Linked DNA regions of Drosophila melanogaster. The protein of the gene in region 1 interacts with the protein of each later gene in a pairwise test. Each region holds a gene or a part of one and is shown in the gene's direction. Other genes may lie near its edges.

What was found. The genes of interacting proteins can lie anywhere in the genome.
Region 2: the proteins of Sox100B (region 1) and CG13862 interact in a two-hybrid assay, tested with the Drosophila melanogaster proteins (one large-scale study listed by BioGRID).
Region 3: the proteins of Sox100B (region 1) and CG32425 interact in a two-hybrid assay, tested with the Drosophila melanogaster proteins (one large-scale study listed by BioGRID).

Annotation. Positions count from the first base shown.
Region 1 is NT_033777.3:31,063,319-31,068,301, forward strand, and holds the start of Sox100B (Sox100B), read left to right. Parts: upstream 1-1,934; 5' UTR 1,935-2,120; coding exon 2,121-2,320; intron 2,321-4,983.
Region 2 is NT_033777.3:22,330,155-22,333,078, forward strand, and holds CG13862 (uncharacterized protein), read left to right. Parts: upstream 1-1,836; 5' UTR 1,837-1,925; intron 1,926-2,004; 5' UTR 2,005-2,007; coding exon 2,008-2,343; 3' UTR 2,344-2,405; downstream 2,406-2,924. Other genes in the region: CG7080 (uncharacterized protein), read left to right, coding at 1-287; CG33721 (uncharacterized protein), read left to right, coding at 915-974, 1,040-1,195, 1,256-1,429, 1,492-1,647.
Region 3 is NT_037436.4:20,495,505-20,500,341, forward strand, and holds the start of CG32425 (uncharacterized protein), read left to right. Parts: upstream 1-1,818; 5' UTR 1,819-1,921; exon of another isoform or gene 1,922-2,131; coding exon of another isoform or gene 2,132-2,960; intron 2,961-4,331; exon of another isoform or gene 4,332-4,367; coding exon of another isoform or gene 4,368-4,837. Other genes in the region: ND-39 (NADH dehydrogenase (ubiquinone) 39 kDa subunit), read left to right, coding at 1-15, 121-571, 654-1,019, 1,088-1,481; CG18281 (uncharacterized protein), read left to right, coding at 4,368-4,837.

The DNA of each region.
Region 1 (4,983 bases):
AAATTAATTTGCCTGCGCTAATTTTTTTTCCTATACAGCGCAAATATTTTTAATTAATTCATAATATTTTCTTTAGCTTTTTTTTCAGCGAGTTGTTTATCAACAAGTTGCGGGCTTTGAAGTTTGCCGGTCCAGAAAAAAAAAAAATGCTTGAACGCGGCTGGGGAAATTGTTAGATGGTCGGCCATTAAATTTCCTAGACGCGAATCAATTTTCCAGTCGCTGCAGTTCAGCGAACTGCCTTCGAAGTTCTGGGCGTTTGTGTATTTCATTCTTTTTTATGGAGTATCGTATAATTTTCATTTTGATGCCTTTTATGACACTTCCAAAAAGAGTAAAGAAACGGGCGCTGCTTTGACGTCAGTTTTCAGGTTCGATTTCATCTCCCCACTTGGCATAAAACATCCGAAATGGCCTAGGTATTTATGATTTCGTTTATGCATTTCTCTGTTTTATTGTTTAATTTCGATACTTCGATTTGTCTGCCTGGCCGGCGGCGTTTGAATTGAAAAAGTTAATTGAGCTGTAAAAATTATAAAGATGTAAAAACCCCCAAAACTATTTGGCGGCTGAGATACGTGCGCTGCAGATAGCCACTTGGGTCCTACCATAACTTCCAGTTGAAACCAGCTGGTAAACAAAAGCGTAACCAAACTACACTTCTTCGATATTTTACGATCGTGGAATGAATAGCTCTCCGTTGCCCGATTATTTCATTTCTCTTCATCGAGGGTGTTTTCTTCGCATTTTACGATTTCGGATCGCATCAAATCGGATTGGATCGTGTGGAGCATAGAGCAAATCTAGTGCAAAGTGGTTATGAAAAGATCTTACCAGATCACCTGATCTCGACTTTTATTTGGACTTACTAAACGTTTGATCGATGAGAAAGGGTACAGCATTTGCATTTCACTGGGTGAGCCGGGGATGAACTTCGTCTTTTGTATCTGTAAGTATTTTAAACACAAAGTGCGATGTATGTAGGTCATAGTTTGTAGGAATCTAGTCTTATGAACTTTTCATAACATTGTAATTTCTATTAGGACATATTAATAGTTTCAGGTAAATAGTCCTCCCACTTAACTGTAGTTATGTCCACCCTGGGAACCCATCGATCACTTCCCACCCCCACTCCCTTGCATTATCTTCATTCACCGCTGTTAACCCCTAAATCCCTAATGATCTTATCGACTCCTCATTACCAATCGTTACCCATTCAGGACCTATGCGCCCCACTCCCCTCCCCGAAGGGACTCCAAATACAGCTGCAACAAGTGGCAGGTTTCTAACGATCCCGAGAGTCCACCCCTTTGGCTCGAAGTCTTTGAGGTGTCATAAATCCACATGTGGCTGTAAAGTGTTACTAATTTCTGTTTCTGTTTCCATTTCGATTTATGTCCCAGCTCTTTGCCATCTCTTTAAGATATCCTGGAGTTTTGGGTATAGAGGGTATGTTGTATTCGTCCTACATTTGGTGGCAGTTATTACAAAACCCCATTGGATTATTAAGTTTTATAATTATGTATTAATAGGATCCAAGATATACATACAATCACTTTTATTTTTCCCTAATTATAAATTCCTAATACTAGGTACTCAAAAGTCGAACCATTGACGTTTATATGTTGCCACTAGTTTCTCGGCGACAGTCGTCACCCCCGCCCCCATTTTCGATTCCGCTCTGGGGCCAACTAATTTCACATGAACATGTTAATATTTACACGCGTACCGCCGCGATTTTTATGTTCGCCCCCGCCGAGTACTGCTGCCCCCTTCCGCTGCCACTGCCCCTGCCCCTGCCCCACTCCAAAATCCCCACCACCCCCAAGTCACAGCAAACGATCCAACCAACCACCGTCTTCAGCTTATCGCCACGATCGCCTCGAAATCCGACGATTGCCGAGCTCGTCTTGGGGAACCAGACCAGCGATCCCCAAGATCAGTCGCAGTTAGTCCGTCAACCTCGTCGCGTCTCTGCTATCCGTACTACTCGAAAGTCCCATTCAAAATTCCCCGAGATCTGCGTGGGCTCCAAATCGTGATTCAGTGACTCCAGTATTTAGATTGTGAACAGCGGATGATTTAGTTTAAGAGGAGATTTAAGACAAGTGCCGCCGAAAATGAGTGACAGTTCCAGCTCCAATTGCTCGAAGGATCGTGCTAAGCCGGTGGAAACGCTGGTTTTGGCAAACTATGCCCTGAAAGCCGAGCAGAAGAAGGCCCAAGGACAGGGTGGTCGAAAGGAGGACGAGCGCATCACCACTGCGGTTATGAAGGTCCTCGAGGGCTACGACTGGAATCTAGTCCAGGCATCAGCCAAGTAAGTCCTTTTGAAAAGCCAGACTTGTGGTTTATGCCTTTCATATGCCTGCCATGATACAATTAAAAGGGTGTTGTTAATAAGGCTATTTAAGGGATGTGTTAATCCAACAGCATAAAATGGTTATACAGATAACCAAATTCAGAATATATATGTAGCATTCCGATGAGCACAACGAGTCCTCCAGTGGATCCGAAGCCGGCGTTAAGCCGAGAATGACTAACCAACCTTCGATGAGTTCGCTGATTAACACAATTTCCAGGCTCATATGCACATACGTGGGTTTTCTTTTATTTAACTGGATAAACAAACTTGGCGAACCGCAAAGGGAAAGGAAAATATATGGGCGAAAGAAGGGAATACGATTGGGAATTCGCCGGCATTTATGTAAATATAAATGAATTTACACATTCACACATATTAGACAAACAACAAACGACGGCAACAACAAATTGGCCAAAAGGCAGCAATAATAGGAAGAGGCAATAACAAGCCACCAGATACAAAGATACGAAATACAGGCCTCAATAAATGCGACTTGCGGACTGGAACTAAATGTTCGAGATGAAGACGAGACGACGACGACAAATCAATTCAGGCATAAAAAGCGAATAAATATGTTTTTAGCATTAAGACGCTAACTGCTAACAAGGTGGGGGGATGGGGATGGGGATGGTGGATGGGGGATGGGGGATGAGGGATGGGGGCAACCCCAGCGGATCTCAACTCAAGCGGACCGGGGAGGTGACACTTGGTTCCGTATTCCAGAGTACATGTAGTTCTGCAGGTCGTGGGAAAGACGGGCGGCCGCAGCGGCTGATCTCTCTGATCCCTCGGATTCCAGATTCACCAGATCCCAGATCCTCGGTAGCTCTATCTGTCTGTCTGTTTGACCGGCAATTAGCAAATGTCGGGGCTTCCACCTCCGGTCTTTGAGCAGGGCTCCATTCTTATCTGAGTTTGTCAGCCGCCTTCAGTCGCTTTGTACTCAACGGCGCTTATCACTGGCTGGGATTGCACTGGAATAAAAAGTCTAGTAATTAATTTGATTTGTTTTGAGTGGTGATAAGTTGCTTAGTTTGATGCTCATCAATTTTAACTCGAATTTATAGAACAAGTTTTGAGCAAGTGCACATAATCAAGAAGGGTTTCACCCTTGGATGAACTCGAAGAAAAGCCAGATTCAGTATTGATTTCCCTCAGTGCCGCCGCCTCCGTCGAGTGGAGCTAATTTTCAGCTGTCCAGGGACAAACATCCTTGGGCGCAGTTGCCCCCTCGTTGCGAAATGCGCAGAAAGCGCTGTCAAGAGCACGTGTGTGTTTGCACAAGGATATGAGCGCCATTTCCTTTCCTTTATCTATCCACGGTGGGGCTCCTCGGAACATACCCCCCAACCACCATAGCACCCACCATACCCGCTAGGTGCCCTCCTGCACTCACTATCCCCCAACTCTCTGCAAATTGTTTACCTTGCGCTTTATGAGCCTTGTTTATTTCCACTTAAAATCGCTTAAATGCACATCGCTTGCCTCCAAGTCCCGCTCACTTCACCAGATTACCACGTATCCCTGTCACCTTAAAAATTAAATCTTTTAAATGGTAAAAATTGCTGTAAGTGTTGTGTGGGAGATACGTTTAATTGCTTCGCTGTTTGCCCTTATTGACAGGAGAAATTGATTCGAAATTGCTTTGCATTTCGCTTGGAATTTCGCTAGGATGAGGTGATAATTCAAAGCACTGGCATATTTACCTCGGTGTCTCTTAATTATTTTACTAGTTAGTTGCAATCTTTAAGTGCCCGATGATTGATATTGAACATATCTGAAGTTTTGTGACTTCCTTCTGCCAACTTTTATGATCCAATTTTGGCGAAGGGGAGACCGCACAATATTATATTGCTGTTTGATTTGCTTAAATTAATTTCGCATGAATCACTTGAAAACTGTTACTTAAGAGCAACACCAAAGTGCCGAGCAGCCACTTGAATAGTCAGACGATCGTTGTAGCCCGATATAAACTCATATATGTATTGTAGTATATACACATATGTGTGTGTGTGCCATGGGAGGGCCGGGGTTTGTTATTAAATAATACATACACCATGTGCGGAACCCCTTCTTATGCGCCCTGCTCTATTTACTTGGCTCGATTAGATATGGGGCCCTACTACTAAGGAGGAGGAAATGCGAGCGCGTCGGAGGAGCCGCCACTTCGGGTAGGACTTTGGCGACGCTATAAATATTTCATTGCTTATCTGCGTGTCCGGCCCGAGGTGTTATCACTCGCCCATGGAGTACCCCTCGGCCAGGTGGGCAGAGCCAGAGCCAGAGCTCCCCGGTTCCCAGCCCCCAAGCCGTCCGATAGTTCCACATTCGGCGCTGCGACGAGTCAATTTACATGGCCCCAACAAGTCATCTCGGGCAGCCTAACCAAACACTTCCCCATGGTGAAAGCTTCACTGGAGGCCTCAACCACATCAGCCCATGCAACCCAAATGGGGCGACAGTGGGGCAGATCCATATCCAGCGGAATTATATATTTAGACTTGAAGGCCAGGGAATGAAGACATACATATCATATTATATCAAACATACCTCGGAATTGTTATCAATTATTTGAAAGATAGTTCAACCCTTTCGAAAAAGCAGTTGTGTAGGCTCCA
Region 2 (2,924 bases), 8.7 Mb from region 1:
GCACTCCCGGAGAAAACCGAGAGTACCAAAGGTTCGTCACCAGCTGCCCGGGAGGTGGAGCCTGCCAGCAGAAGGAGTTCAATCCAGGCGAGGTGGATGAGAGCCACCAGCGGGTTCTGCAGACAGTGCGAGCCAGTACCCAACCTCGAGTGGAGGGCTGCTACAAGAGCCAGGTGATCTATGTGCCAGCGGGAGCTGCTGTCAATAGTCAGGGTCAGTTGCGACCAAAGAATCGACGCACTTTCGAGCGCAAGGAGCAGGTCCTCTCCAGATACCCCTACAACTAAATGTCCTCTCTAATCTTACTCACCGAATTTCACATCGAATTAGTTGATATGCTTAGTTGTCAGTTTGTTGTTTGTTGTAAATAAATCGATCATTGTTTAAATTTTAAATCACGCATACTTACCGTTTCGGGTGATTAATTTAACAAGCCCAAAAGTAGGCATACAAGTCCATTCGATTCAGCAAATATGTTAATCGCATAACCTGTTGCATGTTGCTCAATCAGCTGGTGATGGTGATATTTTATTGTGGGATTGCATATGGTCGAGCCATGAAATGCTAATTAGCTAAATTGATTACACAGCGAGAAATGGGGTCGATGTACCTAACCACAGATGCAAATGTCTGGTCGTAAATGCAATTGGGAATATAGTATGACCAAAAAAAAACTATTAAAATAGATAAGAAAAGGGAGTTATGGGTTCGCAAAAATATTTTTGATACTAATTAAAATTTGATTGACATATATACATAGCTAATTACGCAGCTTATTATATGTATAGATAATATTTAAATGGTTCCAGATCAATAAAAACACTTTGTAATTAATCAATTTCTCATTACCAAACCACATTTAGTTTATGAAAATTGTATGACTTTAGTCATCGTTGGCTTGTTCAGTTACACAAATGTACTCCAAGGCAGCAAAATTGTTTGTGCTAGTTATATTTTTTGGAAATATAATGGAAGTAAGGATACAATAAAATTAAGCATCTTACATTATAAAGATGCAGTCATTTGTTTTTAACCCCAGAATGCCTCCAAGTTGGAGTTTACGAATTTTAAGTGTCATGTGAAGGACCCGACTTATTTGAGCTTCGAGTACTGTTTCATAAAATCCGTAAATCGAACCTATAAGTACATATCACTCAAGGCCAACATGTACGAAGTACCTATTACAAACGCATCGGTATGTATTAAAAAAAAATGGCTTAAAAATCCCACTCACTAAGCGTATATATTGATGTAGGCAAAACTTCAAATTTCGAGAAGATTTCGGTCCTATATGCCCATAACCATAGCCGCCAGCATAGATGTTTGCAAATATATGGCTTACAAGAAGAACTTGGCCAATCCGATGCTCAGACTTTTCGAGGAGATCACCAAAAAATACACAAATACCAACCATAAATGTCCCTATGATGTGGGTTAATGAGAACTTTTCAAATGATTATTTCTAGATGTTATACAATAACATTTTTACAGCACGACCTTATCATAGACAGACTTCCCTCCAAATATCTGAGTGAGCACTTTACCAACATCCTTCCACTCCCACCTGGGGATTACAGTTTTAACAGCATATGGTACAGCAGAAACATAGAACGGGCCACCATCTCCATATATTATACTGTATCATAATCAGAAGCAGCGGTTTAAAATTTATTAAAATTATCAAACAATTCTACGTTATTGCTTATGTTAATATTGTCGCCTTTTTCTCTCTCTTAGTGATTTGATTATGTCATAAGCGTTAACATAATTGCATAATAGGTTCTAATAGGGCAGGGGAATACCAAAAATTAGCAGAATGGAAAGAGCTTCTTCGAGCCAGTCAGTTTTGTGCGCCCGAAGCGACGAGACATATTAAGAATCGGAAACGGAGAACCATGAAGACGATTTCGCTGCTAACTTTTGTGGTAATAGTCACAGATCGAAAATCGGAATACTACATAACTCGTTTTCCCACTGATGACATCAAACGCTTAACTCTGCTAGGTGATGATGCTCGGAGTGGCACTGAGCTTGGTTTGGGCCGGCCCCGATGATGGCTACCTTTATGACCAGCCATCGGGTGAGCAACTTCAGGAACTCCAGGTGATCTCTCCCCCCAGGAAGCTCCGGCTAAAGCCACGTGTCTACCCAGGGCATCCCTCTCAGGCTTGCGGAAACGTGGAGGCGACGGATCATGCCGCTGCCCTGACCACCTACCATGCCAACCGCCCCCAGCCGCGTCGCATTTACAATCACCAGGAAGTCGAGGTGGACAGCTCGTTCTTTGAGCCCACGCCGGATCGGATCGAGGAACTCAAGCGTATTCTCTTGGATCAGCAATGAAATGTGGTTTACTTGGATGACGGAAAATTTGCGTGAAATAAAAGTCTGCTTATGTGAAAGAGATTGGTATTGTTGATTTTAGTTATATTCTTTAGTACAAACACATACAATTTATTATATAAACAAAACATTTACGGTGATCCAAATTTGACTTTGTGTTTATACATAACATCAAGATAATTAATTTCTTAAGTGACTCATGGCTATAGCAACTTTGTCTCCTATTAAGGAAACATATACGTTTATTTATTGTGACGATATTTGGTTTATTTCACAGTTCCCAATTTATCTTTCGGTCTTCTTTTTATTTTGAGTTTCTTTTGATATGCATCCATTGGATGTCAGTTTATAAAAAAAATTCGCTTAAAATTGTGTTATTTTTAAGCCATGCAATTCAATTCCAATTAATCCATTTACTTGTCTAAAAATACCCACAATCGTCTCATCCCTGTTTTTATTCGCCCATTTTGGCCTGCATTCGGTGATAAAGTGAATGTTAATGGATTTTGGCCAATTATATGGAATTAGATGGCATCAGCAAAAAAAAGTGGCTTAAACAGCATTCCGATCAAAATGACGAA
Region 3 (4,837 bases), on another chromosome or scaffold:
ATCTCCAGCTGGCCAGTGAGTACCGTGCCTGCGGTCGAAAACCGCCAGGCAATCCAATTATGTAATACGATGTTTGTGGCTAACTTTTGGCTCATTCTCTGTCCAATTCCGGATACTTAGAGCACCACGGCAGTGGCGTGGTTGGAGTTTTGTGCCTGCGTGGATATTCCGCCGCTGCTGCGCCGCCGGAAGATGGTCCACGTCCACTGAAGACCACCAATCCGGCTGCCATGAAGCGCGGAACTGGCGGACGTAGCAGTTTCAATGGGATCGTGGCGACCGTTTTCGGTGCCACCGGTTTCGTGGGCCGCTATGTCTGCAACAAACTGGGCAAATCTGGCACCCAGATGATCCTGCCCTATCGCGGTGACGATTCGGATGTTATCCGTCTTAAGGTCACCGGTGATCTTGGCCAGGTACTCTTTCACTTCTACAACCTGGAGGATCCCGCCTCCATTCGTGACGCAGTCAAGCACTCGAACGTGGTCATCAACCTGGTGGGCAGGGACTTCGAGACCAAGAACTTCAAGTTCAAGGATGTCCATGTCAACGGAGCGGAGAGGATCGCTAGGTGAACATCATAGCCAGCATTATTTGCCTGCCCACTTCTTCATTCTAACTTTGCATGACGTAAACCACTTTTATTTCTTCAGGATTGCGCGCGAGGCTGGCGTGGAGCGCTTAATCCACCTGTCCTCTTTGAACGTGGAGGCCAATCCCAAGGATCTGTACGTCAAGGGCGGCAGCGAGTGGCTGAAAAGCAAGTACGAGGGTGAGCTTCGCGTACGCGACGCCTTTCCCAACGCCACGATCATCCGCCCTGCGGATATCTACGGATCCGAGGATCGCTTCTTGCGCTACTACGCCCACATCTGGCGCCGTCAGTTCCGCTCGATGCCGCTGTGGCACAAGGGAGAGAAGACCGTCAAGCAGCCCGTCTACGTTTCGGACGTGGCCCAGGCCATCATCAACGCCGCCAAGGATCCGGACAGCGCTGGCCGCATCTACCAGGCTGTGGGGTAAGTCAATCTCCGAGTCCAAGTATTTGTACCATGTACATTTTCTTAATTTCCTTTATTCTCTGCAGACCTAAACGCTATCAGTTGAGCGAGCTGGTCGACTGGTTCCACCGCCTGATGCGCAAGGACCAGAAGCGCTGGGGCTACATGCGCTACGACATGCGCTGGGACCCCACCTTCCTGCTGAAAGCCAAGCTGAACAGCTTCATCTGCCCCGGCACCCCGATTGGCGGTCTGCATCCCGCTCGCATCGAACGCGAGGCTGTCACCGACAAGGTTCTGACTGGTGTCCCCACGCTTGAGGATTTGGGCGTCACGCTGACCACAATGGAGCAGCAGGTGCCATGGGAGCTGCGTCCCTACCGCGCCGCCCTCTACTACGACGCCGAGCTGGGCGAGTTCGAGACTCCCTCGCCGCCCAAGTGCATCGAGGCGCGCGATGAACTGCGTCTGTTTGCCTAAGCGGAGCGAAGTAGCTGTCTGTGTTGATTGGAAATTTTTAGTTGGAATTGTTTAAGGCGATGCGTCAATAAAGAGAAGTCGAAAGACCCAATGACAACGAAGGAAACTTATATTTCCAAATATTATATAGACATTGATATATGTATTTATTTCGTGCATTTAAATATAAAAAAATTTATAAATACTTTTGAAAAAAAAGTCAAATGGCTAGAAAAGTTTGATGTCGGAAAAAAGATTGGCAGCTCGAAATACCTTTGGTATTTTTCGGTATCTTATTGAGGTGACATCGCTCCGGCAACTAAATCAAAACAAATGAAATCGCTGTCATCGTCTGGCAACGCTTCGCCCGTCCGATTTTTCTTCCTTTGCGACCAGGAGCTTTTCTGCAGCAGTTTCCTCCGAAACTTACGCCCGTGCAGATTTATGGCCGGAAAATCATAGTACGGAAAATTCGATTTCCCAAGTTTTCTGAGTCTGTGTGTGTGTGTGTTTTTGGTGTGTGTAAAGATTTTCAACTTTTCAGCTTGGTTAAGCGGTGAAAAAAGAATATATCAACAACAACACAAGCGCGCGCCCGCCTCTCTTTTCGCGTTTTTGTGCGTGTGAGTGAGAGTGAGTGTGATAATTATGGCATAAGTGGCATACAAATTATGATAGCAGAATTCCCACGGCCGACGACGAATGTGAATTGGGAAAATCGAAAAAGCAGGCAAAGCCAGGAGGCGGATAAATCGCCGAGCGAGTGCAGCAAATCGATCAGCTGTGACGTCGACGGGGGCAGAAAGTTTGGCCAAAAGAAAAGGTCAAACAAGCAGCAGCAGCAACAACAACAACAACTGCACGCGGAACGGAAAGAGGAGGAGCTCTGTCACAAGCAAGGGGTAAAGGATAAGAGTAGTAAGAAGAAGGAGAATCTAGCAGGCGAGGAGGATAAGAAGAAAAAGCAAGAGGAAAGGGAACATAGCAAGAAGAAGCAGCAGCTTCAGCAGAAGCAAAGGGCAAATAACAAGAAGAAGAAGCGGCATCAGCCTCCCCGTGTACAGAGGAAAAAAAACCTCGTCTTATTTTTAGATTATTTACGCCAGTTTGGTGCCGTCGAAAGCGAAATTGTCGCTGTTGAATCAGCCGGCTGCTGTGACGTCAGAGAAGCAGGCTGCCATCACGCCAACGGTAAATACGCCGCCCATAACGGCACTTGGAGCCATTTCGAGCATAAAACCGAAATTTATGCTCTATATCGTCACCTGGAGATCGGTGGCCCGCTCGAACAAGTGCAACAGCAACAGCAGCTGAGGGTCTGTCCAATCAAGACCCGGCTGCGCTTCGAGATGCTCTTTGCCGAGCCACCGCCCACCCAGGGCCACGCCCCCACCGCCCACGGTCACGATCATACGGCCGATGATATGCCAGATGCGCCACCTGGCGGCGAGCCGGTGATCCCAATGCTGCAGGATCAGCAAAACAGCGAACTTATGGCCGGTGAGTCTAATCTAAAGATATTAAGTTAAAAAAACAACAAGCGGGCTTTATTTCCACAATAATTTACAAATTATTACTTTAATAAATAACGCAATTTAAGCAACAAAGTTTTAAAAGCCTATCACTATGCATGCTAAAAAAAATATATTGCAAACCTAAAGGGATATGACTCATTAGATAAAATGAGTCAATAATAAAAAGCTATCCCTCGAACGATATGTATGAAATATATCCAAACATTTTTATAATTTATAATTTAATACAGACAAATAGTGCGAGATTTGTATTTATATATTTATACCCTTTTCTTGTAGACTAAAAGAGTATTATCGGCTAGATAAAAAGTACGAAACGGGCGGGGAGGTAAGCATTTCCTGCACTCGGAAAAATTGAGAACAAAAAAATAGAGGTCGGTTGCGCTCAGCGTACTCAGTGAATAAATAAACCTTCTTGGTTTCGAGACGAAAATGATCTCAACGTTTATATTTTTTATTTTTCGGAAGAAGTATTGGGTGTAAGATTGTCGAAGAGTCTGAAAAAAGAGAGGAAGACAAATGAAAGCAAAATCATTTGCAATCTGAGAATGGTTTGATCTCGATTTGAGTATGCTGAGAATGATTAGATCTTGGCTAGATTTTAAAATCGAACTTCTCAAAACGAGAACATTTTGGTCACGTCCACTGGTATCGGCAACAAACTGCAAAAAGCTTTCATGTCCACAATTTTGAATTAATTTCTTCACAAATTTGTTTTTGTTTTTCCATTGCTAGCCATGTAATGGGTATGTGATAGTCGAAGAACTCGACTAAAGCGTGCTTTTTCGGTTTGGTATACATATGTATACTTACAATATTCTCATATCCGCACTTCTAAGTTGTGATTGTGATTTGCAAAAATGTCACTATTTATTCACAGTCATATAGAAAGTTTAGGCATGCATACTCAACCCATATTTTAAGACACGAAAATATGTTAAATAATTTTTAATGGCTTACCTTTAAAAAGTTCTAAAAGTAGATGGCTTTACTTGTTGGCTTGTAAATCGGAACCTTATGGTTCTATTCTCACTAACAAGAGAGGGAAATGTTTGTTATTATTAATAGCTTGGATGAATAATGTTAATATATTTGTGAAAATTTCAGCTATTTTGAAAACAAACTTTTAAATTCTCTTATTTGCGTTTTGCTTACGATCTCTTTGACACATCTCTTTGCTTTCTGCGAGGAGTTCTAGTTTAAACGATATATATTTTAAACGACAAAATAGTGTAGTATAGTTCGAGTATCATGTTTTTTACAGTGCAGCCATAACTATATTTTCTATAAAACTGAGGCGTATAAATTGGATTTAAACTGGAGTTGTCAGGCTATTCTGGCGTTGGCCAGTTCGCGGACAGAACACTAAAAAATGGCGCAGTTGAAGTTTCTTAGACCCCTGGTGAAAGTATTGGTTAATCGTTCTGGAATCGGAAAAGCAAGTGTTTGGCACGCGGTGATCGTTACGTTTATGCACTACTTCTCCTGGGGTCTTCTCACCGTTCCCTTCATCGAAAAATTGTCGGGATCGTTTGGGAATCGCGTCCTTCTCGTCGATGGACTGGTTTATGGAGTTAGAGGAATCCTGGGATTTGTGACCACGCCCGTGATGGGTGCCATTTCCGATTTTCATGGCCGGAAAGTAGTGATGCTACTGGCAGTGGCAACCACCTACGCTCCAATTCCATTCATGATGTTGAAGAGTTGGTGGTTTTTCGCCATTCTCACTGTGAGCTCCATCTGTGGCAGCACTTACTCCTCTTCATTGGCCTATGTGGCAGACACAACTACTGTGGAGAATCGTTCAAAAGGCTATGGCATTGTTGCGGCCAGTTTTGGCGC